Diceros bicornis minor: one gene and its partners. The protein of the gene in region 2 purifies or fractionates together with the protein of the main gene of each other region. This does not show direct contact. Links are inferred from orthologs where the notes say so. Each region holds a gene or a part of one and is shown on either strand. Other genes may lie near its edges. The genes, in order: CTTNBP2, ZRANB1, MAP4K4 and GCC2.

Region 1 (6,904 bases), on a different chromosome or scaffold from region 2:
ATTCTGTCACCTGGAAAAAAAAAATTTCAAGGTGCCAGTTAATTTGTTTAATGTTACTGTTGTGCATTTTTAACAAAATTGCCCAAATTTTTCTTCTTGCCACTATCACTGTGACAACAAAATTTATATCTACTTTTTGCGTATTAGCTGCTCCAGAAAAGTCCAGAATGACAAGAATGCTGGTCAGCTTCCCAAACATAGCTCTAAAAAGAGCTCCACTTTCCTTTCACTCTTCAATTCTTTGGTGACAATAAAAAGCAGGAAGATTTGTTTTCCATAGTGCCTTGTCCATCAGAAGTTATTTTTCAGAGTAGAAATAGCAATATAGCCTATAAAAGTCACATTTTGCTAAGGCACTGAAAATAGCAGGTCTCCCGGCGTGGATCACAGCAAAAACTATTAATATGATCCTATTGAATAATGTAGCCGTTACCCGGCTCTACACTTGGGATGCTTTCAGGATTTAAACAGCTAAGAACAAGGATCACAAACTAAATTTAAAACACTCCACTGAAAATCATATTAAGCTGAAAACTATAAATTAAACTTGTCTCTAAGCAACAATCTAAATAGTCAAAACTTAGTGAAAACACTCACTTTCAAAAATAGCCTACTGCTTTGGAATCTCCATTGGCTCATAACTGCCAAATGTACATAGGAAATGCATAATATGTAAACCAACTTGAAATGAAATCTCTAAAATGCAAAAAAGAATTATTCACTAAAAACGAAAAAAATTTTAAGTCCTCAGTTGCCATGAACCCAAAATGCCTAAAAACGTCTTTGATTTTTAATCATTAGATAAGGAGCAGTTATAACAACAAATATCATTCCTCAACCTAGATTTCTTTAACTTAAAAATCAGTCTACAGGTCAAGAGGCTGATATGGGAGTACTTTAAGTGAAAAGTAAAATACTCAGTTTACTGCCTAAGAAGCCATCATCAAAATTTTACTAAAAAGTCAAAAATTATTTCAGAAAACTATCAGATTAAGAGTCCTTATTGCATCTCCTCAGAATTTTATGGAAATATCAAAGGACTTTCACAGATTTTCCATAGCTATTCCCATTAACCAGGGTGAAATGATCAAATCCCTACCCATCAGCAGTGAAAATCTGACTCCTGAAAATTTTAAGCATCAGAAAGGGAGCACTGACCTCCTTAACACAAAAATCCACCTAGCATCCAAGGTTCTGTTTACAATCTATCCAAATAAAACTATAGATCGGTTACAGACCATAAATCAGATGTTTGTGTTTGGTTTAATTGTCAGGTGATTAAAATATTGAGGGTAATAGACGAAGCCCATTTTAAGTCCATTAAACAAACAAATTCAACCTTCCTGGGAAAGGAGAAACACACACACTCCCCTCTTTCTTTTTCTTCTCACTCCCCTCCCCTTACCATCTCTTAGGGATGAAGGTACCCAACCATTTCAACTTCTCTGAGAGGCTTGTTGTCTTAATAGCTGGCTTCCTTATTGTACCTCACAGAGAGAAACGGATTCACGGCATCAAAAGTAGGCAGGTTTCATTTGAAATCTTAAGAAAGTTCATATTTTCCATGTAAAGAATGAAAAATCAATTTTCCTAAAAGTTTCAGATCAAAACTTGCCAGTTTCACAAGCGGAAATCAGCAGCCCTCCACCTCCGTTTTTCCTTCCCTCCCTCTTTTTTTCCTTTCCTTCCCTGGCTCAGCTCCTCTCAAGCCCAAGTACTTCCTCCACATCTCTCCTCTCCCTCTCCAGAAAGCCCTACCTCTATACAGAGAGGAAGTCAATGCAGCCCTGGCTATTTACACCTGGCCCTGCCCTCTGCCACTCGTGCAGCAACTCTGCTCAGGTCATGGGAAGAACTGAGGGCCATCCCTGCTCCGCTCACTCCATCCCACCCGGAATCTCTGGCGGGAGCAGCGGGATCGCGCCAAGGGTGGGAGGCGCTCCCAGAGCTGCCTTTCTTTGCAGATCCTTGCAGCTCCTGCGAAGCTGCTTCCCAAACCCCGAGAACGTTTCCACCCAGGAAATGTGGATCCAGCCCTCCCCCAGGGTAGAAGCTAGAAACCACCATTGAGCCTCTGTGCACGGGAATATTCTGGGGGTGAAAATGGGAACTAGCGATGGATGGAAGCTCATTCGGCTTCCAGACCCCCAGCAAAAAAGAACAATGTGTTGATACCAGGTGCTGAACCTCCACCTCGCCCAGGCATCGTTTCGGGAAGAACAAGAACACTCCCCCCCGCCCCTCCACCCCCAAAAGCCACTACCACCAAGCGATGGGGCAGCAGGCAGCTAGGACCCAAAGCGCCGGAGCTCAGCGGTAGCAGCGCCCACAGCTGGACACCGGGCCTCTCCCAAGGGGCCCCCGGCACACGAACACACACACAATGGGCATCCCCACACCTGCTCGACGATGACCCGCCTCCCCCTCGCTGCTCTCCCCGGTCCGCCGAGAAGTGCCAGGCACCCCCCAGACACGCGCCCACAACCACGCGCGCAGCGAGAGGCGAACAATGGGGGGTCAAGTTCGCCAGGAAATACACCCGAGTCCTCGCCCGGGGGCCAAACCCGACCTCAGCGGAGGGAGTGGGCGTAGGGGTCGCAGGAGACGCACGCAGGAGCCCCGAGAACCGGGCGGACCGGGGCTGCTTCCCGCGGGGCTCGGAAAGGACAAGGGGGATCCCTAGCCCGGGCGGCCGCCTCGCCCCACTCGACCCGGCCTCCGGCCCTGAGAGCTCCCCGAGGAGGGGGCACCCCTAGGAGAGGGCACCCCGAGGAGCGCGGGCTTGCGCAGCGCCCGGGGGCGCCCACCCCGAGACCCCGCGCCCACCCCGGGACCACGGTTACCGCCGCCTCCGCCGTGGCCCCCGCCGCGTCCTCGGGGGCGCGGGAGAAGTCGGGCTCGCAGCTCGCGCCGTCCGTCGCCATCTTCCTGCCCTAGCGGATCCGAATGCGAGCTCGGAGCCGCGGCTCCGGGTGCAGCCCTCTCGCCGCGGGCGGCGCTTAACCCGCTGCGGTCCAGGGACGCGGACGCGGGCGCTCGCAGCCCGGCCGCCGCCGCAGCCGCCGCGCTCCCTCCTCCCCTCGCCGCCGCCCCCGCCGCTTTAACCCGCTGCGCGCCGGAGCGCCGCCCGCCGCCTGCTCCCCGCCCCGCCGCCCCGCGCCCGGCGCCAGCCCTCAGCCGGCTCGTCGAGATACGGGAAATGGGCACATGCCCAGGCCAGGTTATGGCGCGGCGCGGAGATGGGAGAATGAAAGCCGCTGGGTGAGGTGAAGGAAAGAAAGAGCCCAAGAGGTGATTCGCCCGCCCAGCACAGCCCCCACGAAGCGGATGGTGCAGACCCACCGGATTAAATGTCAGGCCTCCAGAATCCGAATTCTCTGTAAAGCAAGGAAAAATCCTTCGCTTCAGTCCTCTCTATCCCGCCGCTAGGAATCACGTAAGGCACCCTTTTCTTTTTCTTAAATTCCTTTCTTTTCTTTTCTTTTTTTTTTTTGGCAAGACTGCCGCCGGGGCGTTTGTACCCTCCTAGTGTCTATGTCTGCCTCTGTCTTATTCTTCTTCTCCCAAAACCAACAACTCCCAGATCAAAATGCGTCCTGGTACCCTTTATTACCCTGCACCTGGCCCCTGGGTCTATACCTTTCTATTCCATCTCTTTTTCAAGAAAGGTGAAGCAAGGCTCCTTTTTGTTCTTTGACTCCAAGTCTGAGTTATTTTCTGAAGGACTAACCAAGAAATTTTGTGTCATTGCTTGCAAAAGGAAGCTTTCAACTTTTAAGAGAAGTTAAAGGAATTACTCCCATGTGTTGAAGACACACACACCAAAAAAAAAAAAAAAAAAAAACCTTCCCTAAGAATTGATTTTATGGGAATAATAGGTCTCAGAATATATTTCATGATATGAGTGAGTTAGGTCCAAACTCTTAATTTTCCCTTCCCACATCTGATTCAATTCCTACCCTTTCCTGCCAATTCCCAGGATGTGAAAATCTTATCAAGACCATATGGTACAGGCCTTCCCAAATCACCAGATCCCAAAAATGTGTTGGAAGCGCAAAATCAAATGGAGGCATTCAGGCTGTGTCTCAACGAAGTAAAATCAAACCACAACCAAATCCTGGACTTGAAATTCTGGAAGATGAATGACTGGAATGTTCAGTCCAAGGGTTACAGATCAAGCTCATTTTAAAAAATGGCAGACACCTAATGAAAGGTTTTGGCACTTTAATTGCTTCACTATCCAAATTGCATCTAAATATGACACAAACCAGGGCAGAGGACATCTTTTCTGCAAAGACCCTGAAAAAGAGTGATCAATAAATTGTAAAAAGTTTCCTCCCAGAAGAGGTCTACATCAAGAAAGAACTTTCACCTGGAGCCCTGGGGTTAAGGGTCACAGGTTTAGAAATCACCTCCAGGTTATCCTGTAGACAAAGGTGCTCATTTGTTTATTTTCTTTGGCTTTACTCTGAGAGCTACTCCTTCTCTTAGACTTTATGGTTTCCATCTCTGTTCATTATACCACTTTCTTTTATCAAATATTCTCTCTGAAATTGCTCACTATTAGAATAACTAGACTCCTTATAAGATGAAAGAAAAGCGTTTGACAGTAAAACTTAGATGCTGAAGTGGTAGTAAAAATTTAAAGTTGGAACCAAAAGCATTCCTTGTTCTTTTCAAAATGCATTTTCACACATCACAAGGCAATGAATTTTCTTGATACTGATGCTTGATACTGATGCTGAATTACTACCCAAGAAATTAACTGGCTCACTTCTGAAAAAAGACAAAAGAATAAAATAATAAACTTCACTTAGGGGTTAAGAACTGGGAATATGACATGACAATATCCCTGGAAAGCAAATCCCATTTATTTTATACATGCAGCTCAATTTTAAAAAATCATCATTGGGAAGAAGTAGCTTCTATTAGTCTAAATACAATTTAAAGCAGAATCACCCCACAAAGGAATGAATCCCTGAGTGGTTTCTTCCCTCTCACCTCCTTTTTTTCTTTTTCCTGTGAAAAAAAAAAATCACAAGACAGCACATTTTCTAACTGCTAAGTCCCGGACCTGGGGAGGAAAATAAACAGGGTTTTGTCTGTACCTTAAAGCTGTCACTGCCTGCTGCGGAGGGTTGATGGAATATCCCACCCTAATGCACAGAAGAAGCACGCTAGGAGTTAACTCCCTCACAGTGGCCTGGCCCCGGGCTGCTTCTCCACCAGGAGAACACTTGCTGGTTTAAAATCTCTCCTGAGAATTAGCCTCTGTTGAGATTGCAAATTAACTCTTTCTGAAAGACTTTCTTTGCACAAAGACAAGCTCTATTAGAGTCAAACCAAATAGATCTGAAAGGGTAGTGACTTGATGGCTCCAGAAATTAAATCTTTTGAAGCTTCATTAAACAGCTAAGTAAATTGAAAAAAAAGACATACCAGGGCTGAAGAGAAAATTTCTGAAAGGCAGGGGAAAAGAAGAGAGATGGAAGTATAAGCAGGAAGAAAAGAAATCCCTATAACAAAAATGAATCATGATTTTTAATCCGTGAATTTCTTTCAGCATTAAAATGAAAAGAGATTGAATCTATTGCAAACAGAGAAAACTGTTAGTTACATTTTTTTCTCCTTTGAATATAATGATGTAGATGACCCACTGACAAAAGAATTTGAGACAAATTATTTTCTGAATCCTGGAACAGAGGTGTTTGTGCTGAGCCTTAGAGCATTCTTCAAGATTCTCTTTTAAGACCAGTGAAATGGGTTGCTGCAGCTAGGAATGCAGACTGTAGTTGGGGAGCCAAGTGGTTTTCTGATTAAACCATGGCCTTGGCCTCACCAGCCACAGCCTCCAACCCATTAAACCAAAAACCCAGCGAGTTATACATAATGATGGGACGAGATGCTTCCTTCCATACGAAAAGATGAAAGAACATACACATATCCTAAAACAGTTTCCCTCTTGGAATAAGGGAATTCTTTATTTCAGTCAAATGACAACATTTATGTTAACTCCAAAGAGCAAACCATATGTTATCATGTCTTAGTATTGCCAAATGACAAAATTACTGAGTAGCAAATCATTTCTGACTGTATCCACAAGGCTATAGTTATACAATTTAAATATTCCAGACCACACTTATCCCTGTCTACACCACGGTGACCAACCTAGGAAGCCCCAAATCCTGACATCAGGAAGTCTAACAAAGAGCACAGATGAGCTTGGAGTGCCCTGTGTCTATCACATGTTTTTGAAACCAGGACATTGCCAGAAACGAGTTTTCATATGACCTGACTACATTCCTTCATCATCAGCTTGTTATTATCTACATGTGTTTAGGCTCTTTGTGGATTTCACTCAGTAAATTTAATCCTAATCTAGTTAGCCACTCCTGTCAACAACCTATGGTTTTGGAAGGCCTCCTCCACCAACTGCAGTTGGTGTGTGCCAAGGGAATGCAAGCTAATTTTACCTAAGCTAAAGCAAAACATAATTAGGAAATTAAATCTTCTAGGTAGGAAGCGAGCCAAAGCTAAACATAAATATATCATTATAATCACTCCCAGCCCCTTTTAATACCACCTCTAGCTAGGAACTGTATTTGGTTATTCAGTGCTAAAGTGATGTCCAAATAGAAGATCTCATTAAAGAGTTAAAGGTACAGTAAGAATATTATTCCCCAGTCTAGTCACTCTAAGAACAGAAACTGGGGCTAATACAGAACAATGAAGCAGTGTTGGTTCAGTTTTACTGAATGTTTTTAAAATCCTAGACCATTACTTGGTTTGGACTCTTATCTGCAGAAGTCATTTACAAGAGTAAGTTTTAGTGCAGAAGGATGTTTTAGTGCAAAACTATTATGGAAAAACAATTTTAACAAAGGAATCTGGCCCACTGCTGCCC
Region 2 (7,024 bases):
CTTGAACAACAAGACATAATCATTATCAAAATGTTGAGCATTTTCTACAAGAAGAGAACTATGCTGATAATAGTTATAAACATACTGACCAAAAAAGTTTTTTTAGAGACAGTCATAATTTCAAATATTTTGTCTCATAAATCATCAAAGTCCCAGAAACTCCAATACTTAGAAGAGTACAAACTGCACATCCCAGAACACATCTATAACCAAAAATACTTTGTCAGAGCATGTATCCATATTTTCAGTGCTGAATACATGGTCTGCATACATAATAGTGTTCAAGGTTCATATCCATTTCTCAGAGGTCTTAAAAGTCTAACTGGGGGAAGTAGAATAACAACATAAAAGATAAACTGAAATCCAGGCCAGCAAACGCAAAGGGAAAAAAAAGAAACAGTCCCACACAAGAGAGGAGTGACTAGATGCCTTGGGGTTGAAGTAGTCAAAAAGGCTTCTCAAGAGACAGGGCTCAACTAGGTCCGGAGTCAAGAGAGTATCCATGAACACAATCAGAAAAGGGCTTCCAACAGAAAGGCCAAGAGGAGGGACTTCACAGGAACAACAAACACGTTAGTTTGGCTGGAACTAAGGATTCACAAAGGGAAGAACTAAGAGTTAAGACTGAAGAACGGATCAGGGCCAGATTATAGAGAAACTTGAACACCACACCAAGAAGCTTAAACTTCACTTTGCATGTAATCAAGAGCGTTGTGGAAGTTTTTAGGTTGTGATGTGAGGAGCTGAGTGTGTTAAAATGTGCAAGGTATTATTTACCCAAAGCATAAGCAGAGCACAATTTTCCAACTGAAACATCACATCACTGGGAGAAAACGTATTCAAAGCCCAGGTAAAAGGGCTTATTATTGGGGGAAGAGGGACTCCAGCAGCAATGCTCAAATAATACATTGAACCAAATTAAATAAAAAGTGACAGTGGTCTACTTTTGCAACTCCCATATATTTAAAGTTTCCATTTATTATAAAAGCAATATAAGTATAAAGCACATTGAACAGCTCTCACTATATCAATTACACATAACAGGCAATTTACTCCAAATATTGTACAACTGAATTGTGAGTTCCAGAACTATGCTAATCCTCAGGCTTTAAATGTGATATGCCATAACCCTTATCAGTATACAGAGCTGGATTAGGCCATAGGCTTAAAATATACTACCATGAATGAGTTCATCATACTGACCCACGCACATTTCAAGAGTAAATAAATGGGTCTCAATGCTCTGAGGCACTAATAAAAGGTGTTGAAACATCAGCAGAAATAAAAATCCCTCATGATATTCAAATATCCTCACCAAAGATTAAAATGTGTCGTCACTCACTGTCCTCCGAGTTCCCCTAACAGCCCAATAAAAACAATGTTATGAAATTTTAGTATAAGGAGGTGACTGCACATCTTGTTGCAAGATTCAAAAATCAAGGCGAGAGTTCTAAATTTCTTTAGAATCATCTCACTTAACAATAATAACCAAGAGGAGAGATCCAGCTTTATTTTTCACAAACATAGTTTAGATGACTTTCCCAAGGCCCTTGGCACAAGCCAACATAAAATTCCTTATGGTTTTCCCTGGCTTATGATTTGTACACTGAGTCATCCAAGTTTGATCAAAACCAGGGTACCCTTGAGGTCGCACAAGTGATAAAGAATAGAAGAACCACTCATTATATCACATTTCCAAGAGCTAAAGACTTCTCTTCAACTGTGTTCCCAAAACAGTATTTCTGTACATTAAATTTGTTGACAACACCATAGATCATACCGGGAGCAAACCAATCAAAATATCGGGTAGAGGGGACAGCGTTTAACCTGACAGTCTTTGGAGTTACGGAAAGGGGGAATCAATTGACTGATATTCAAAATTCTCAGCAAGAGAATTTCAAAACACCAGTGTATCTCAAAGATAATAGGCCGGTTCAAACTTCCAGACTGAACCTAAACTGCCCGTCCCCTGTGCTTAATGCAAGTATTCATTACAGTCCTTTTGTTTGTTAAATGACCCACACGAAGCCACAGCGAAGAAAATAAGACACTTGCACTGAACAATCGTTATTGCGAGCGAGAGGGGCAGACAATCTTTCCACTAGTTCCAGCTCCTCCTCCCCAGCCCACCCCCGGTGCCCCCCACCTTTATTTTCTTAAACAGAAATGGCAACAACGGGAGGCCACCGCGGGAGGCGGAAAGGAAACGGCGAAGGGACTGAAATACAAGTTTGGAGACCAGCACCAACTTGTGGTGATGGACCCAAGTATTTACGGCCTACTGCAGAGTGGGAGCGAAACCCCACTCACCCACCCGTAGGTGGCAGGAAAAGAAGTTGAGAGGAAAATCTGGCGGAAGAGAGGTAACAGGGCAGGCGGCGCGTCCATCCGCGGCTGATCGATGGCCGGTAAACAAGCGGGGCGGACCCACCCTCCCACAGCCCCGGGCCTGTCCTCGCACCGGGAAAACCCAAGATGGAAGCGCGGCGGCGGCAGATCGTGCCCCCTCCCCTCTCCTCCCCTCCCCTCGCCTGCGATGCCGCCCCGGGGGGCGCGGGCGGGCGGCCCGGGAGACCCGGCGGCCTGGGCGCCGCCAGGGAGCGAGAGGCCGGGCAGGCCGCGGCGGGGGCCGCGAGGGGCCTGCGGCAGGGCGCCCTCCCGGGACCAGGTTACCTGGCGGCGGCGGCTCCTCCTCCAGCTCCTGCTCCTCCTCCCCGTCCGACGCTCGGCGCCCGGCGGCGGCGGCGGCGGCAGCGGCGACTCCCCGAGCAGCCCGCGGCGACGAGCCGAGCCCGGCCCCTCTCCGCCTCCCTCCGCGCCGCCCGCCCCGCTGCTGCCGCCTCCGCCCTCTCCCTTCAGTCAGGACATGGTCTCCGCGGGCCCGCGCGCGGCTGCCGGGGGCGGAGGGGCGGAGAGCAGCCGCGGAGGCGGGGGGGCGCCGGGGGGCCGGGGGAGATACGAGGGGAGGCGGCCTCGGGCGCTGCGGGCTCCTAATGGCGGCGGCGGCGAGGGGCCCCGGAGCCAAATAAACCCCACGGCGAGCAACACAACGTCAAGACCGGACCCCGCCGCTCGCCACCCTGTCATTGGCCCCGAGGCCGCCAGCGGCGCAGCCAATGGGCGGCCGCCTCTTTCCGGGCGCAGGAGGCGGGCCGCGGAGAGGTGACGTCACGCCGGCGCCCGGCCCTATTGTGAGGCCGTGGCGCGTCGCCCCGCGCCCAGTCCGGTGTGCGGCCCCGCCGGCGCCCGCTACGGGCCCTGTGCGACCTGCGGGGGACGCCGGGAGGTGACGCGGGGGCGCGGCGCGCGCGGGGGGGGCAGACGCAGCCGGGCGGCGCGGGGGCGTTCTCTCGCTGTCCGTCTCCCTCTGCCTCTTCTCTGCGACAGATTCACCAGACTGCAAAATCAACCCCCGGGTCTCACGGCACGCCCGTGAGCTGCTTAGTGCGGATTCTGCTTCACTCTTTCTGATACGGTGTCACAGTCTTTGTAAGACACCGGCAAGATAAACGTTTAGGTTGTTTGTGATTCTTTTTCATGTATCTGTTTTTTTACAATGTCTGTTTTTTACTCCTGCCTTCGAGGCGGCTATCCATTTATATGTGTATGTGTATATTTATATATGTTACATGTATACATACATATATGCATGGTGAAAAGCCGTGGAGTTATATGCCAATTATGTCTCAATAAAATTTTTTTTTTTTTTTAACAGAAAAAGGCATGGAAACTGCTTTTCGCTCTCTTCTACTACTTCCTAGCTCTAATTTTGGGCAAACCCAGCTTTCTTGTGATTGCCTTTTCTGTAAATTGTAGATTTAAGGCAGAGGATAAATTACAGCCGTGGGAAAAAAAACCAAAATTCCCAGAGCCCAAGTTCTAAAGAGAATATATGGTGTATTTTATATATTTCTTTCTTTTTTTTTACTGTAAATATAGCCAAATAGACTGAGTCATTTAGCCATTTGCTAAAACCCCATGAGTGTGTCAGATTTTTCCAGCTGGAGAGCTTTGTTTTTCCCAGTGGGACTTCACCTTGCATTTTCATACTTGAAATTTTTTATTTCAATAATTTAAAAAACTATAAAACACAGCAACTCTTTAAAAGTTGTAAACCTCAGTCTCTCTTTGCATAAATATGGCAAATATGTGTGTACAGCTTCACGATAGCCATTCAAGAATAATACCTTATGTAGCTTCTCCTCACCAACAACCTCTTTCATAATCGTTGGTATATTTTATCCTCATAGCCATTCCTGTGATATAGACATTTTCAATAATCCCCATATTCCCAGAGCAACATTATTTGCTCAAGAAGTTGCCAGTAAGTTGAGTTTAAACTGCAATAGTCATTTGCCTACAAAACTTTACACACATCCTCAAACATATAATTAACACAATTTAGGTAAAATTAAACACCACATTGTGTAAGAACAAATGGTTGAATCAACATTTCGCTTTGAAAATATCTTAAGAGATTCTGAGTGCCTCCAGCTTCCCCTTCCTGAACCTCAGCTGCAAAGCGTCTCACCTACAAGTTAATAAGAACCGCAGAATTTGGTGTTTTTATTTAGTTGGAGTTGGAGTTTATTTTGTTAAGGGAGGAGGGTATTGTTTGGGTAAGGCTTATTAACTCTTCACTCAATTTAGCAAACATAAATTAAGTACCATGTGCCAAGGAACAAGAATCACACAAAGATGAGTAAGACACATTGTGTTTGAGGAAACTACAGCCTAGGAAAAAGGACAAGACAAAAATAACCGTAATTATAATATGAGGTGGAATGTGCTAAGTAAATTCAAATGAAAATTGTGTTATAATTGAGAGGAAGAGCAAATCCAAAAATGACTCTGTTAAAGCTGAAAACATGCTTGATACCAGTCCAGGCCCTGGCTATGCGTGAGAATTATCTGAGGAGCTTTTTGAAAATACACATATCTGGGCCCCACCCCAACCCTATTGAAACTGTCCCCAAGAGGAGAGCCTGGGCATGGCTATGTTTTAAATGCACTCCCCAGGTGACTGTAGTATGCAGCCAGCTACTGACAGAGTCCCACCCCTGCACTTTGCAGCTGTGGAAACTAATGCCTAGAGATTTTAAGTGACTTATCAAAAGCCAGACCATCTAGGTTTGGAATTAGAACACAAAGCTTTTGATTTCTCAGTTAAATCTTCTTTCCATTGCACCATATTTGAGTAAAAAAGATGTCAACAAATGCTGTAGATAGCACTGTCACAGTTAAGGACTGATTCATGCTGTTTGGCACAAGAGATTAAATTATCATTCTCCTTACATATATTTCTGAGTTCTGAGGAATATTTCATTTGGGGGAAAAAGGTATCCATTGTTTAAAAAAAAGGCTTTTTTTCTTAGAACTCTTGTACTAGAATGTAGGGACACTATAGTTTTGTTGACAATTAATTTGTTTTGGCTTTTATTTCAGGTGTTCCCCAAACTACTTGTAGAAGATGTAATTTCATTTTACTTTGTCTGCCTTATCGTGAATGTCTTGAATGCCAAATCATGGATCTGTACTTAATTTCATTACTAGTATAAGCCATGGAAAGATTTTGAGCAGGAAAGTGCCGGTAGTAGAGCTATACCTTATCTTGGAATGTCTGTGGGACAAACTGGGGTAAAATTAGAAAGAGGGACCAAAACCAAAGTAGCTGTGGAATGGACAGGGTAGGGCGGGGGTGAAACAGGGGGGCAGTAGAATGTTCAGGGGTTGCCAGTGTCTGAAGCTGGGGCAAAAGAAAGAATCACAAGTCAGAGAACTCTGAATGATAGTGGTGTGATTAACAGTGGGAAATACGCGAGAGGAACTAAAGGAAGGGAGATGTTGACTACGGGTCAGGTATGTCAAGACCCTAGACTCAGGAGGAAATGTGCAGCAAGCAGGGGAAATGCTGGTCTGAAATTTGACAGACTGGAGCTGGAGATAAACCTCAGGGAGTTATCTATGTAGACGTGCAACTGAAGCCACAGGAGTGGGAGAGAAAAAGAAAAACAACCAAAGGGGGAGAGAAAGATTCGTCAGACAGATGAAAAAGGTGTTCTAGAAGCTGAGGGGCAGTGAGCCTCAAGAACGTGGTAATAAACAATGTCAGATTCTACAGACTCAGGAATGAGAACAGAAAAGGTCACTGGATTTGACAAACAAGAGGCTTAGTGACCTTCTAAAGAACAGTTCTCAGTAGGGTGGTAGGGAGAGAAGCCAGATTTCAAAAGCTGAAGGCATGTGTGGGCATCGAAGCAGTGATTATAGTCTACCAGTCCAAGACGTTTGGCAATGAAGGGAAGGAGGGAGATGGAAGAATAGACACAGGGAGGAACAAGAATGAGGGAAAGGGTCTGTTTTCTTATACATATTTTTTTAAAGAGTGAGCATATCTGAGCACTTTTGTGAGCAGAGAGAAGGTAGATAGGGAAAACAAAAATGATTGAAATCCAGGAGGAAGGTAATCCAGAGCACAGTGATTTGTCTTGGCAAGCGGGGGGAGGGGGTGCTTTCTTTCTCAGAAACAAGAAGAAAGGAAGACATGAAAAATAGAGCTGCAGAGAGATTCTGATGAGAGAGAGAGGTGATGGAGTGGACTTCGTATCCTTTCTCCTCTGGGGGAATCAAGTGCAGGTCACCTGCTAAGGGTTGGGCTGGGAGCTGGAGTAGAACAGAGGGACTTTGGGACAAGGATTGTGAGGAAGCAAACTGAGAAGAGTGAAGAAAGAACTACAAGGAACCACTTTCTCCAGGAGGTCGAGCAGCCCTGAGTCAGGCCTAGAACAGGGAGGCCAGACCACAGAGGCTACCGAGAGGTGGACCTGTCCAAATAAGGAAAGTTAAAGGCTCTTTGCTGAAGGACATGATAATAGGTCCAGCTTGCTTAGGGTCTGTTGGGGGATCTGTGCTTTTATGAAGCAAGTTTTATAAAATTGGTGAGCTCCCCTCAAAAGAATACTAGAAAGTTCAATTGTTACAAGAACAAATTCTCAGCCACGCTGCAGAAAATATCAGTTGTATA
Region 3 (7,018 bases), on a different chromosome or scaffold from region 2:
AAAACTCCTGAGCATGGTGTAAATGGTTCTACAAATTATAATTTAAAGAGAGAAGAAAATGGAGATGTTAACTGCCTCTACTATTTCCACCATCTCTAAGACTAAACTTCCCAGTATCAGTCCACAAATCTTAAAGAATTTCATGACAGTAATGAAACATGTATGAAACAATCAGGAAAACGTTAACACTGAATATGTGATACTAAGGAATTAATTTTTTAGGTGTAAGAATGGCATTGTGACTATCTAAAAAACAAAAAAATACACACTCAAGTATTTATGGGTGAAATGGTATCTAGGCTTTCCAGTAAGATAATGGAGGAGAGGGAGACTATAGATGAAACAGATTAGTCATGTGCTGGTAACTGTTAAGCAGGATGATCTACTCTCCCTCCTTGTGTATGTCTGAAATTTTCCATAATAATAAAAGAGAACAGCTGGTGAGCAAAATCTCAGGCACTATTTTGTTCATGATTGTATGCCGCTTTTGCACAGATTTCTTAATTCCTTAGGTTCGCATAATTTGAGAATTTCTCCTCAACCGTACAGACTTTGTAGTCAGAGACTTGTGTCACTGCCAGTCTCCCATATACTCCCAAATGTAGTGCTCAGCAAATCTATTTCAAAAGCTTGGGGGAAAGAGAGGATGGAACCCAAGAGGAAACGAGGAGGGGAATACTAACAACGAACCTGCCCAAACTGTTACCATCAAGAGCTCCCACCTCTTAAACCAATTAATATACATTCAGGTTTCCTTCTTTCTTTTTTCTCACAGTTTAAAAACAGACACAGTTGGCTTCTAGTTTACTTCACTGCCCTTCACATCCATGCTGACTGAAGAAGAGACAAACAATCCAACTACTGTGTAACCGGGGCAAAAACAAGCTTTGGCTAACTCACTTGGAAGAGTACACTCACCACTTAGATTTGGCCAGAAAAACTGGGTTAGAAAAAACCCACTGGTGCTTAAACAAACACTGGGGGGGCTAAGGAGAGTGTCTTGAAGCCAGTTAACAGGCCACTCAGAGAGTTGCAACACAATCTTTTCCAAAATTTTCTAAAGCCTTCCAAATTCAGTTGAGCCCAGGAGGCTGAGTTAACAGGGCTCCCTTTCAAATTCAAAAATCTGGCCCCAACCCCAACAGTTAACCAACAAAACACATGCTAATTCACTTGAGATCACCTAAGAATACTGACTCAAGTTCAGAGCACAGGCCAGTACGCAGCCCAGGCCAGGGGAAGCTGAGGTTGGGCAGAGGTGTTTAAGTGACAGATAAACCCTCTTCATAAAGGAGAAAAGAGACAATAGGATCCACACTTAATTTGGCCTAAGAAAACGTCTACAGTCAGCTTCCAACCCCCCTCCCCTCCATTTTTAATGAGACAATGACAGTTCTTCATGGTGAACCACAAAGCCCTGCTTCATAAGATATTTTTTTCTATTCCAACCCTCTAGGACTCTAACAGCTAGCAAACACCCCCAACGCAGATAACTGTTAGAAAACGTTTAGAAATAAGAAACAAACCAAAACAAGGAGAATTTTGAAACACTGTTTCAAATTTTCAAGGCCTGCGCCCCCATTATCTACAGCTCTTTCATAAGATCTAGAATGTGCACTGGCTAAAATGAACAGCGCTGTTAGTCACATCAGGTGTCAGCTACTCAGCGCAGACTCATGGTCTCCAGATTTGTTAGTTTCCTTTACCGTGGGGGGGGGGCGGGTAAAAAAAGAGAAAGACCTGGGCTGGATGTGAAATCCACGCATCCTCTTGACTTCTAGCTCTCCTTCATTTCTGTTTCAATTACACACCTGTCAAACAGGTTATTCCTGGAATTCAGATTTTATAATCCTCACACTGTAGTTCTTCCTGCTCCTGTTGCCCAAACACACACCCCTCCCTGCCTCCCCGAAATACGTATCCATCAGTAGAATGTACCCCAGAGATACAGAGCAGTCCCAGGCAACACCGAACTCCGCACCTTGAGCACTCGGCAGGCATTCAAACGAGGAAACACGATGACAATTTCCAAGAAGGCCAAGGCTCGCCTATACTTATCGTAATTAACACACAAACTCAGAAGGCCAGATTTGGGAAAAACGAAAAACTTAAAGCGATCTTATGAACTGCGTTCCCATTTTAGTGAAGAAAAGTGCACGCCTAACAGTGTAGCTTATTTCCTTATCTCAAAGCCAGGAAACGGGGTCTTTTAAGGCCAGTCTGAACATAAACTCTGTTTAACAACAGAGGGAACGCGAGGCGAAGCCCCCTCCCCAACTCTGGCCAAGCGGCGTGGCCTCCAGTCAGCAGCGTGTTTGTCACCCTGTCCTCGTCCCCAACGAGAAGTTTCAACAGGCCCCGGGAAACAAAGAAGGCGCCCCGCACCGACCTTATAGACTTGTCCATAGGTGCCATTTCCCACCACTTCCACCAGCTCGAAAATCCCAGCAGGGTCCTAGAGAAGAAGGAGGGGAGGCGTTACAATTTAAACGCAGCACAACAATGAATAAACGCGGCGAGGCAGTTGGAGAGAAAGGGCGGGTACAAAGGCGGCGGGTTCCGCCCGCTGCGGTCCCCCAGCGCCGAGGGGCCGGCGGCGCTCCGTCCCCGTCCCCGTCCCCGGTCCCCGGGGCTGGGGCGGCGGGCGGGGGCGCGGCGGAGGGTCGCGCCCCGCGTCCCCCACATGCCAACGCGGGCAGACAAAGGGGCCGCCGCGCCGCGCCTCTGCCCGCGCCGGCGCCCGAGCGCCCGGCGGCCAGGGCGCGGCCCCCGCTGCCCGCTCCGCGCGCGGCCCGTCGTGGCCACTCACCCGCAGGGAGGAGAGGTCGATGTCCACCAGACTCTTTGCAGGGGAGTCGTTCGCCATTTTCCCTTTTTGCCACCAGAAGAACACAGTCACGATAAATCTGTCTCTGTCTCTCGTCACAGGCCGGCCGCCGGCGGCGCCTCTCGCGGGGAGCCGGGCGGCCCGTCTCCGCCTCGCGAGGCCGGGGCGGCGGCGGCGGCGGCGGCGGGCGGCTGGGCTCGGGGCCGGCCCGGGCCGCGCGGAGGGCGGGCGGGCGGAGCTGCGCGCGGCGGCGGCGCTCACACCATGGCGCGGGCGGCCGGCAGGCCCCCGGGCGTCGCCCGCCGCCTCAGGCCCCGGCGCCCGCGCCGCGCCGCGCGCCTGGAGGACGGGCCCGGAGCGTGGGGCCGCGGCGGCGCCGAGAGTTGAGCGAGCGAGCGCGAGGCAGCGAGACAAAGATAACCCGGGGGGCGGGGGCGGGGGCGGGGGCGGGGGCGGGGGCGGGGAGGGAGGCGGCGAGCGAGGGGGCGGCGGCGAGGGAGGAGGAGAAACGGGACACCAAAAATATATTCTGAGGAGAGAGCAAACAGCTCCCCCTCTCCTTCTCCGGCAGGAAAAACGGGCGGAAACGCACTCGCGCCCGGAGCCCCGGCGGGGAGGGCGCGGGGCGCGGGCGTGAATATGCAGCAGGGGTGGGGCCCGAACAATGGCCCGGCGCTCTCGCAAACGCCGGCGCGGAGGGGACGCGCACCGGGGTGGCCCCGCTGAGGTGCGAGGGCACGGAGACGCCCCTGCCTCGCACCAACAATACGGGAAGGAAGACGGCTCTGGACCCTTCCCTCGGGGGAGGCTGCACGCCGCCGCGCCCCGGCTCTAAAGGGACATGAAGGGGGAGTCTCCAAGCAGAGGAGCGGCCTCCCTCCCTCCTCACCCCCGCTTCGCCCCATCCCCATCCCCCACCACCAGACTCTATACCCTCGAGACCCTCATTTCCGGTTTCTCTCCAGGATTCTCTTTTCCTTTCTCTTCTTTCCCGAGCTAAATTTGTGACACGGTTGTAGTGGCCGGGTTTGCTGAGCATCACGGGGCTGCCCGGTCCCGAGACTTTCAGTGGAAACAGAGTCCAAAACAGCTTCTCTAATTGCCTTCTGCTGAGTTCCGTACCTCACTCAGTAGGTGAGCAGTGTTCTGGGGCCAGAAGTGCTAACCCAAGTTTTGGGTCTAGAAATCACTAAGGATCGATTAAACAGCAGGTCCAGCAACTTTGGAAGCTAGTCGATAGTTAGGCAGATTAATCCTATGAAACAAGAACGTATCGTCTGTGCACAGCAATCATTTTTATCACATCGCTCACTGTACAAAAACTTTCAATGGCTCCCTATTACCTCACAGCAAGTTCTCAAACCTGAGTGCACGGGAGTCAGCAGGAGGGATTGTAAAAGCACTGATGGCCCGTCCCACCTGCAGAGTTTCTGATTCAGCAGGTCTGGGATAGGTCTGAGAATCTGCATTTCTGGCAAGCTCTCAGATGATGTTAACATGACTGTTACAGGGGTCACATCTGTGAGCAGAAGGCTCACAGGATGAAAATCCAGTTCCTACACGATTAGGCTTCACAAACAGCACTGCCATCATTATCTACGATTCTTGCTTTACATACAGTATTCAATTTAATCCCTCCTGTAGCCCTGGAGTGATGTTATCCTCATTTTAGGGAGGAGGAAACCAAAATACTGAAAGATAAGGAATGTGCCTAAATTCCTTAAAAGCATAGCCTGGAGGTGGAGCAGGGATTCTTACCTATCCCCAAAATCCAAGTCTCTGATTCAGCCAAGTTAGTCTTCTACCCAGAATGTGTTTAGCACTCGCCTGCCTCCCAACAATTTGGTTTCTGCGACTTTTGACTATGAGAATCCTTTGTAAGGCTGAAATATATTTAGGGACTCCTGGAATCGATTGATTGGGAAAATCATAGTAACCAAAGAGTTCCTATGAATTTAGCAGTGTTTTTAAATGATTTTATTTTTTAATTTATCAACAGCAATGGCATTATCTATGAGTGTTAATTAAATAATTTACTCAGAGCTAGAGTGGTACACATGTGAACTTTCAGACCATATTACTAGTAATAATATTTTAATAGTGGTTTATTATTAATAATAGATAACACTTATTGGGTCCAGACAACATGCTGAGTTCTTTACATATATTATCTCATTATTATTCACATTAACCCGAAATCATAGGTACTCTTATTTTTCCCACTTTATGCATTAGGAAAACAACGTCTAAAGAAGTTAAGTGACTCACTTTGTGTGCACAGCTAAACCCAGTGCAGAAATGCCAGGGCCCCCCAATTCAGCCTCTCTCTACAGGTTCACGGTCTCAGCTTTAAACTCATGACGTTGAGGCCTGCCTCAAACCACCCCCTTCTTCTGTGCCTAGCCAAATTCTCTCCATCCTCTCAAGCTCAACTCAGAAACCATTTCCTCCTTCTCCTACAAGCTTTCTCTAAATCTCCCTCCTAAACTGCTATTTCCCATATCGCCATTGTGGTGGTGATTTCACACTTTCAATTCAGTACCTTTTCTTGAAGTGCCTACCCAGTGCAAGGCACTGGCTTAGCCATTGCCCAGGATATAAGGAAGATTAAGACAGTCTCCCCTCAAAGAGCTTACAATCTGATAATGGGTGTAAGATGGTTTCATAAATAGCTACAGTTAAAGCTAAACAGGTCTAGTGGAAAGTGTGCTGGACTGGGGGCAAAACTGAACTGGGTTTGAACCCTGTTCTGTTATTTATCAGTTGTGCAACCTTGCACATGTTGCTTAACTTCTGAGCCTCTATTTCCTCTTCTGTATACGAGATGAAGACTGGAGATGAGAACAGTTAAGAGTCCATCTCAAGAGCACAGGTCAGAGCCGTAACACTTGGAGAAAGGAGATCCAAGAGGTCTTGGGCCAGTAGAGTCTCTTAAGATTTGGCGTTTGATGGAATGCCAGAGGCAGTGTAGACAAGGAGGTAAAAGATTTGCTTGTGGTTCGGAGCCTTGTTCACACTTGGGAGGATGCTGTTACAAACAGAGGAAAGGATGGAAGTTGCTAAGTTGTGGTGGCAAAGGAAGGTTTGGTTTTGGATTCTGTGCAAAGTTAGCTAACTTTTCATGCAGAAGCAGTGTACACCTGCCTAGCTTGCAACGCTGCATGAGCCATGTTCTCAATCAACAGCCATGTATTAATTAGCTCAGGCTACCATAACAAAATACCGTAGATTGGGTGGCTTAAATAACAAAAATTTATTTTCTCACTTCTCTGAAGGCTAGAAGTCCAAGATCAAGATTCCAGCTGATTTGGTTTCTGGTGAGAGCTCTCTCCCTGGCTGGCTTGCAGACGGCCGCCTTCTCGCTGTGTCCTCACATGGGCTTTCCTCAGTGCTAGTACACAGAGAGAAAGAACAAGCTCTCTGGGGTTTCTTCTTCTAAGGACACCTATCCTATCACATCAGGGTCCCACTCTTGATGACTTTATGAATTTAACCTTAATTATTTCCTTAGAGGCCCCATCTCCAAATACAGCCACACCGGGGGTTAGGGTTCCAACGTATGGGGGCACTCAAACGTTCAGTCTGTAGTAAGCCATGTGCAATATGTGATGTCAGGAAGTAGACTTAAGTCATGGCCATTGTCCTCCAGAATCTATTTGAAAATACAAAATAAACCCACCCAAAAAGATAATAATTTGGAAAATAAATACTCATTTGGGATTTTAGGCTCGAGGAAAAAATAGCTTGCTTGGACAAAGAATGAGAAGGAAAAAGAGGGAGGAAACTGGCCACGCTGGGTCAGAGGACTACCCTGAGAGAGAAAGCTAGACAGCTTAGGTGGGGGCAGAAAACAAACTGAGGTGTGGGCAATGTGGGGGTTAAAAACAGAACCCAGATTATTGATCAAGTCAAGGGAGAAGCAGCCTAGCCTTGGCTTTCAAGAGCTTGGATGGCAGTTAAGTCGCTTGTGAGTTCAGCAGGCCATGGGATATAAATGTGCATCCTCCCTGGGTACAATGGGCCAGACTGGCAGTCATCTCACACTCAGTCACAGAAATTCGGGGGGGAGCTTAATTATGCAAGAGGCCAACAATGACAACCCCCTGTACATCACTTTACTTATTGCCTAGTTGTTTCTTTGTTGCAAAAGTATTGGTAGAAATTGATTTCAACCTCAGAGTGGGACAGGGC
Region 4 (7,922 bases), on a different chromosome or scaffold from region 2:
CAGAGTGTGAAATGAAAAGGAGAGAGCATAATACTCACTGCAGAACAGAAAGGGATCTAGAGGTCATTTAATCCTCTCTTTTCACAGTCGACCAGAGAGGTAAAAAACTGAACCAAGGGCAGAGAGGAAGTGGTAAAACAGGACAGAAAGCCAGCTAGCTCTCCAGCAGGCTGAAAGCCCTCAAGGAAATTTGATTTATCATCAGACATTTCCTCTAAGTAAATAAAGAAAAACTAAAGCAATATTCACAACTGTTTCATTACCTTAATAATATCATCAGTTCCTCTAGCAACAGTTTTTGATTTCAATTCTTCAATTTCTTTCTCCAGTTCTAAACAATTATTAAAAAAAAAAATATTCCAGTTCAGAAACGAAGAAAATAATTACTGGCTAAGGTGACAAGTACATTCTTAAAAAAACAAAACATAAAAAACTACTATAAAGTAGAATACATTTAAGAAGCAGATATTTGGGGAAAGCATTAACTTCACTCAGTATTACCTTTTATTTTCCTTTTTATTATGGAAAACTCCAAACAAATAAAAAAATAGAGAAAACAGTAAATTAATTTCTATGCACCCATCACCTTGATTTTCATCCCGATCTGTATTCATTTCCTCCTTCTCCTCTTTTCTTACCCATCTTGATATTTTTGAAGCAAATCTCAGAGATTATTTCAGCTGTAAATAACTTCTTACTGTATAATTTTAAAGCAACAATTAACCTCATATTAAACATAAATGTTAACCTATTTCATCAACTCGTGGCTAGGTCTGAAGTCTGAAAGGTGTTCTAACTTTTCCAAATAAATTACTCTCTTTATCACAAGTTGATCTATCCTCCCAAAACACAATATGACCTTTTCTAGAAGAATTTAAGTCTTGGCTCTTAGGCTGGGCAGTTAACATCTGTTAAGTCATTGGAAATTCAAGAGCTTACCCACATAGTAAAAAAGGATACTAATATCGTTATCCTTTTGGAATATAAAGAAAAGGAAACTGAACAGGGAATCAGTCAACTTCACTAAATAAATATACTTCAAAATTCTAGGAATGGAAATCTTTTACTATCTTACTTGAGGCCTCTTTTTACTTTGAACTCACAACTTGTTGTCTCTAATGTTTCAACCAACTACTCTAGAAAAAAACGCTTTACTCAGAAGAACGTACAAGCTACATGAGTAAAAAAAGAATGTGTTAACTTTAAAAAACTATTTTTAAAAATCCTCCTCCCTGACTTTCTTTTAATAATTCAAAGGTAACTGCAGTTTAGAGATGTGAGATAATAAAAAATATCAGAGGCAAATGATTAGAATGTTAAATAAAAACAGATTCTACTACATTGTCTAAGATTTTGTTGGATTCACTGGTAAACAAAACAAGCCAATGTACAATTAAAAAACTAGTATTTTTAACCACGAGATTAAATGAGATTATGGTCAAATGAATATTTTCAACCCAATACCTGTACATTTTGATTTAGATTTCTGTATTAGCATCATCTGCTTCTTGGCAAACTTGATAAGATCTTCCTTGGGCAATGTTTCCAGCTGAAAGATGTAGTGATGTTACCAACTTGTTATAAATCATGTTTCTACCATACCATAAAAAAGAAACATGTCTGCCTAAAAATAAAAACATCTCACTGAATAAATCTTTGTCAAACACATTTTTTAAAATTAGCAAATGAACTTCAACTCAGTAATTATTAGTTAAGCAACTGTGAAATGTCAAAAATAGCACATATCCACTTATATAGATATATTGTTGTTATAAGTTAAGACAATTCCTAGGTTTTGATTTCTTTAATTGTAAAATTAGGGGACTGGGACTAATTCTACTTAAAGTTCCTTAGAGCTGTAAAATTAGTTCACTCTATTCAAAGCTGAAAAAAGTCTTTGGCCACATGAAAACATGTAAGCATAATTACAAGATGAATCAGGTTGAATTTAGGCTTTAACTGAAAAATCAGGGAAAATTAACCCCTGTGGGCTCAGTTTTCTCTTCTGTAAAATGGGGATAACAATAGTACTTATCACATGGTTACCATGAAGCTTATATGAAGTAACTGTTTACATAAGTGCCTGAAACTTAGTATGCAAGCAATAAATCTTAGCAATAAACCACTATCTTTTAGATTCAGTGAATGTGAAAAGTTGTACAGGGCCATAAAAATTACCCAATTCAACTTTCTTTTCCATAGGAGGGGCCTACAGGATAGAGTTCCTTGACTCCTACCTATGTCACCGCACTTTCCACTACACCCTTTACATCCTCAGAAATTAGACTGCTTTGTTTAATGTCTGAAAAATTGCACAATCTCTCAGCAGGGCTACCAAGGGGCAGGAAGTAAACAGAGAGTCAACTCTTTTCATACTAGGAATCTTAAAAGCAAAAAAGAAGAAAGAAATAGACGGGTGACTGTGTAAATTAAAATTGAGATCCCTTGGAGAAAAGCTCCTATTTATTTTAAACAGGCCACCCCTCTCTCCAGGCCAAAGTTTTCCAATTCATCACCCTTCCACTCTTCAGGGAGCCTGCCAGTCAAGTATTCGCTTCACCTTGGATTTCCCGGTCCCAGGGGTGGCTGGTGAAGCCACCCCATCTTGAACAGGATCCTGCAAAACAAAATCAAACCCAGGTGGTCAGAAGAACTCTGTTCCTGACCCCAGACGGAACTCGCGGAACTTTTACAGGTAAAAACCTTTCCGTGGAATCAGGAGGAGGAAACCCTTCACGTGAGAAACAGAATCGGGAGGGAGGCGTCTGTGGCTGCGGCCGATCGTACAGAATTGGCTGTACGGGGCAGGCAATCGCGAGGGGCGGAATCTGGGGGCGGGGGGAGACAAGGCAGCGCGGGGCTGCGGGCGCGGGGGGGAGGCTGCCGAGCCCTCTCCCGGGGCCCGTCCCCGCGTCCCACACCGCGGCGCGCAGGCTCGGTGGGAGGTGGCGGCCCGCAGCCCCGGCCCGGCCCCGTTACCTCCATGGCCGCCCGCCCGCCGGCCCGCGGCCCCGCAGCCCAGCCGGCGCGGCACTTCCGTCTGCGGCCGCCTCTGACGTAGCCTGCAGCGCAGGTCACAGGTCGCGCTTCTGGGGCCGGCCCCACCCCCCGCGTCTCCATGGCTACGGCACGGCGGCGCTGCCGCTTCCGCATCCGGGAGGCGGGGCCCGGCGCGCGCCCGCCGCGGCCGTGTGGCGGCCCGCCCGTGGGAGGGGGCAGCGTCCGCGCGTTGTCCGGGGCGAGCCGTTGAGCTGGTATCGCACGGCGTGGCACATGTGGGCGCTGCCGCTGCGGTTTTCTAGCTGTGAGAGCTTGGGCAGGTCGCCGCGCAGGGCCTCGTTTTCCACATCTGTGAAGTGGTGTCACGGTGACGGGAGTGCCCCCCGAAGGTGTCTGCCGGTGACGCTGCCCTGTAGGCGAAGCCTCCGAGCGCCTGCCAGACACACCGCTGCCTTCGCGGCGCGTCTCAGGCGGAGGCTGTCCCCACGGCCCGCGAGCCGGCTCCGAACGCGCGGCGTCAGGGCGGGGCCGGCTTCCCGGCTCCCGGGGCGAGCAGGCCTGGGGGGACGCGCCCGCCCGGGGGCTGGGGCCGAGGCGCGAGGTGAGAGCGCAGGCCGCCCCCTCCGAGGGCGCCGCGGCGGAGTCCCGGCTGGCCCTGCAGAAGCCGGCCTGTTTGCTGGACCGCGGCCCGCACCCTCGCCTTGCCGCGGTGCGCGCAGCCAGCGCCCGCTAACCGAGGCCGCTTGAACGTGTGACTTAGCTCCCTGTAGGCTGAATGGCCTAAAGGATGTGAGGAGGCAGCAGGTAGTATGGATCTCGGGGACGGCAGCTAGTTACTCGTAGGTAGAGAGGGAGTTAGACGGCCGGTGGGGAGAGAACGTCCCTCTGACGGGGGTGCGTGACCTCAGTGTACAACCAGTGAGGTGTGGCGCTGCGGTTTAAGAGTTTGGTTTAGGGATCATGTTTTCCTTTCTCTTAACGTGACTGAAGAAACATACGACCCTGATTGCTGTTGGCAGACATTTGCCACTGGATGGAAGGCCGCCCCAGGACAGAGTTGATATCAGGGAGAAGGCGGAGCCAAGACAGTCGCAGCAATGAGGCTGGAGTCCTACAGTCTGTGATGAGTGAGTCAGTAAGTTAGTTCCCTTAGGTGAGCCACTTCGCAGGTGTTACACATATCTTGGGAGGAAAAGTTTGCCAACTTGAGAAAAAAATTCTTTCCATAATGAGCTGGCTTGAGAAAATGCCCATAAACCTGGACATTGTGCAGTGTTCTAAATGAGTGACTTTTTACAGAATACAAAAATAATTTCAGACAACGTTTTAGAAAACCAGCAACTAAGTCCTAAAACCCACCAAAAGTTTTAATGTTTCAGTGGCAGCAAATACTGTTAAAGAAGGGAGACTATATGGTTTGGCAGATAGTATTGGAAAAACTCAAGACTTTGAGCAGCCTTTGGAGAAAAAGAGGACTTTCTGTTGTCCTGTCTCCATTGAGTCCATTGCCTTGTATGTAGCAGGCACTCAATGAATACTTGTTATGAATGAATCTGTTAATTGACATAGAGAATCGTCAGTGGAACAGAACTTAAGATCATTAGTCAGTATTTTCCAGGTTTTGAGCAAGCTTAGAACTGAAACTACAGGAATATTTGTTCTATCTGTTAACATACAGGACTTCATAGCATTTTTTCCCTTCCAGTAGGAGATCCAGTCTAGGATCAGGTATTGCATTTAATTGTGATGTCTCTTTAGGCTCCTTTAATCTGGAACATTTCCACAGCCTTTCTTGGACTTTTATAAAGTTGACATTTTTATTTTTTGACATTATGTCAAAAAAAAAACAACAACCCCGAAAACAAACAACTGAGCTCATAAGTGCAGAGAACAGATTGGTGGTTGCCAAAGGCGGGGGTTGGAATGGGGGGAAAATGGGTGAAGGTAGTCAAAAGGTCCAAACTTCCAGTTTTAAAATAAATAGGTCATGGGGATGTAATGAACAGCATGGAGACTATAGTTAATAATGCTGTATTGCATATTTGAAAATTGCTAGGAGAGTAGATCTTAAAAGTTCTCATAGCAAAAAAAAATTTTTGTAACTATGGTGATGAATGTTAACTAGACTTATTATGGTGATCATTTCCCAATATATACAAATATTGAATCATTAAATTGTACACTTGAAATTAATATGTGTCAATTATATTTCTATTTAAAAAAAGAATAAAAAATTGACATTTTTGAAGACTATACTCGCCACCTTTTGTTTTATTTTTTCAATTAACATTCATTAAAATGGACTTTTCTTTTGGCATAGAGTTCTTTGGATGTTAATACATGTACAGACTTGTGTAATCATTGGCATAATCAGGCTACAGAACAGTTTTATTATCCCCCAAAACTCCTCCATATTACTCCATGGTAGCCACACACTCCTCCCATCCCTAATTACTGGCAACCGTGATCTATTCTTTGTCACCATAGTTTTGTCATTTCATGAATGTCATATAAATGGAAACATACAGTATGTAACCTTTGAGACTGGTTTCTTTCTCTTAGCAAAATGCCTTTGAGATTCATCCAAGTTGTTGCATTTATCAATAATTTGTTCCCATTTATTGCTAAATAATATTCATTATATGAGCATACCATAATTTGTTTATCCAATTGTAGGATTTGTTTCAGTGTTGAGTGATTGTGAATAAAGCCGCTATAAACATATACAGGTTTTTGTGTGAACAAGTTTCTGTTTCTCTAGGGTACATACCTAGGAGTGGGATTTGCTGGGTTCTAGGGTAAGAATATATTTAACTTTTTAAGAAACTGTCAAGCTGTTCATCCTGATCATTACCCAGGAAGCAGTAGAAGGGAGATGATCTTTCTGGAGACAGCATTTAGTGACCAGCTGCCTTATTATGGTGTGCAGGCCAGGATATGAGGGAGGCAGTCAAAGCCTTTTTTTTTTTTTTGGTGAGGAAGATTCACTCTGAGCTAACATCTGTGCCAGTCTTCCTCTATTTTGTATGTGGGTTGCTGCCACAGCATGGCTGACAATTGGTGTAGGTCCGAGCCCAGGATCCGATCCTGTGAACCTGGGCGGCCGAAGCAGAGTATGCCGGACTTAACCACTACGCCACAGGGCTGGCTCCTCAAAAACCTTTTTGAGTTGATTTTTATGGAGGCTATTTCAGTGTTTTGCAATACCAAATGCCTGCAGATGGCAGGGAGTGTGGAAGTCCCATTAAGTACCTTGTCAGCCCATTGTTGAGTAGCTTTCTTGATAAAAGGTGTACTATGGAAATTGTCCAGGAAAGCAAACTCATGACCCATATTAGTTTCAGAGGCCACAATAGTGTTACCATGGTTGGCTGATTGGACTGAAACAACAGCATCATAACCTGAAAAAATGTCGCCTGTGATGAGGCGCCACCAATAAATAGCCTGGAAGAGGCTCAAAGGTCGGTCTGTCAGGAAAGAACTAGACCAGCTTTGGGTAGGAGTCACAAGTCTGGAATACAGTGGCAGCCTCTGCAGAAACAGAGCCCTTCACTTAGTACATTCTCTGTGATGGTGGATGTGTTGTCATGTCTGGTGTGATGATGGATCCAGGCAGCAGAATAGTAACAACCAGGGCAGTGGAGGCTCAGATAGCAGCTTGATTCCAGTCAGTCTCATCAGAGGATGAGTCCTTTCTGTGGGCATCTACATGAGGGCCCCAGAAAGTTTGGGTCAGCAGTTATAATTTGTTTCCATAGCTCACAGCCCCAAACAGGGATGTCTTTGATCTGCCAGTCTGTAGTTTTCGAAGTGGCAGACCAGATAGCTAGGCCACTGGCAAAAGCCCAAGAGTCAGTAAACACATAGCAAGGTTCATCAAGGCAAGTGCTGGCCAGAGCTCTGAGAAGGGCTTTGAGTCCTGTCCTCTGGGTGGAAGTTCCAGGTCCCTTTTTGGTGTGCAAAGCTGGCACTGAGGTTGAACACCTGCTGCAGTCCAGTGGGAACTATTGAGTTTTAGCTTAGCCTTAGCCAGGCTCAAGATTTAGGGGAATCTGTGAACTGAGCGCCCCATTGAGCCAGTGAAATGGCTGACATGGTTGAGTGGGGGTAAAATTTTCCCCAGAGAGATAGCTGTCACTTTCATGTAAAGCTGAGACCTTTTTCATTTGACATGCAAGGTTTTGTGAGCCCTTTTGATATCATCAGTCGTAGAGTCTAAGTTGAGCCACCCAAAAATGGGAATATCAGGCTGGAGATTCATAAGGCCTGCGTGGGTCAGTCATTTAGTTTTGACAAGAGTTCTACAGCAAGCTAATATTTGCTTCTCAAAAGGGGTGCACTTGGTAATGATGCTAGGGAGGCACTAAGTCCAGACCCCCAGAAGTAGTTCCAGGTGGAGGCTGCCTCCCTTCCCGAGAGGATCTTGTCAACAAAGTCATTGGTCACAGAGACTTCTGGCTCAAAGTGGTTATTAGGAATGTAGAGCCCCCAAAGCAGCAAGCGTGCCACAGCTTGCTGGACAGCTGCCAGTGTATAGACTGTTTTGCACTATACTCAAATGATACCAATTCATGGGTTAGCCAATGTAAAGGACCAAGTAGAATGCTCAGATGAAGCATGTACTGTCCCCAGTACCCAAAGAGCCCAGTGAGGCTCTGGGCCTCTGTTTTGTGGGGGAGGGAGGCAAAGAGCAGTTTTTCCTTGGCTTCCAGAGGGACGGAGCACTGTGAATTTGCTCATTTGATTCATAGTTCCAAGAAACTTTACTTGTTATTAGGTCCTTGACTTTTATCGGGGTTCACCAGCCTCCCCTAGCTCCCTGTTCAGGGTCATTGAAACTGAGGCTTCTAACTTGCCAACCAAGTTAAAGTTGAGCACATCACCTCTGTGGTGAAGGCCTTGGACATGAGAGGGGAGAGGCA

The links.
Region 1: the proteins of ZRANB1 (region 2) and CTTNBP2 purify together in Homo sapiens (affinity purification with mass spectrometry; 3 studies listed by BioGRID and IntAct, with this or other methods). This does not show direct contact. The link is inferred for Diceros bicornis minor from reciprocal best matches to the Homo sapiens genes ZRANB1 and CTTNBP2.
Region 3: the proteins of ZRANB1 (region 2) and MAP4K4 purify together in Homo sapiens (affinity purification with mass spectrometry; 3 studies listed by BioGRID and IntAct, with this or other methods). This does not show direct contact. The link is inferred for Diceros bicornis minor from reciprocal best matches to the Homo sapiens genes ZRANB1 and MAP4K4.
Region 4: the proteins of ZRANB1 (region 2) and GCC2 purify together in Homo sapiens (affinity purification with mass spectrometry; 3 studies listed by BioGRID and IntAct, with this or other methods). This does not show direct contact. The link is inferred for Diceros bicornis minor from reciprocal best matches to the Homo sapiens genes ZRANB1 and GCC2.

Annotation. Positions count from the first base shown.
Region 1 is NC_080742.1:68,710,233-68,717,136, forward strand, and holds the start of CTTNBP2 (cortactin-binding protein 2), read right to left. Parts: upstream 3,013-6,904; 5' UTR 2,925-3,012; coding exon 2,844-2,924; intron 1-2,843. UniProt on the Homo sapiens protein: Regulates the dendritic spine distribution of CTTN/cortactin in hippocampal neurons, and thus controls dendritic spinogenesis and dendritic spine maintenance.
Region 2 is NC_080745.1:87,596,510-87,603,533, reverse strand, and holds the start of ZRANB1 (ubiquitin thioesterase ZRANB1), read right to left. Parts: upstream 3,023-7,024; 5' UTR 2,674-3,022; intron 1-2,673. UniProt on the Homo sapiens protein: Ubiquitin thioesterase, which specifically hydrolyzes 'Lys-29'-linked and 'Lys-33'-linked diubiquitin. Also cleaves 'Lys-63'-linked chains, but with 40-fold less efficiency compared to 'Lys-29'-linked ones.
Region 3 is NC_080779.1:11,851,637-11,858,654, forward strand, and holds the start of MAP4K4 (mitogen-activated protein kinase kinase kinase kinase 4), read right to left. Parts: upstream 3,016-7,018; 5' UTR 2,867-3,015; coding exon 2,810-2,866; intron 2,456-2,809; coding exon 2,390-2,455; intron 1-2,389.
Region 4 is NC_080779.1:5,477,282-5,485,203, forward strand, and holds the start of GCC2 (GRIP and coiled-coil domain-containing protein 2), read right to left. Parts: upstream 3,003-7,922; 5' UTR 2,986-3,002; coding exon 2,980-2,985; intron 2,618-2,979; coding exon 2,561-2,617; intron 1,550-2,560; coding exon 1,465-1,549; intron 1,457-1,464; exon of another isoform or gene 615-1,456; coding exon of another isoform or gene 587-614; intron 332-586; coding exon 264-331; intron 1-263. UniProt on the Homo sapiens protein: Golgin which probably tethers transport vesicles to the trans-Golgi network (TGN) and regulates vesicular transport between the endosomes and the Golgi.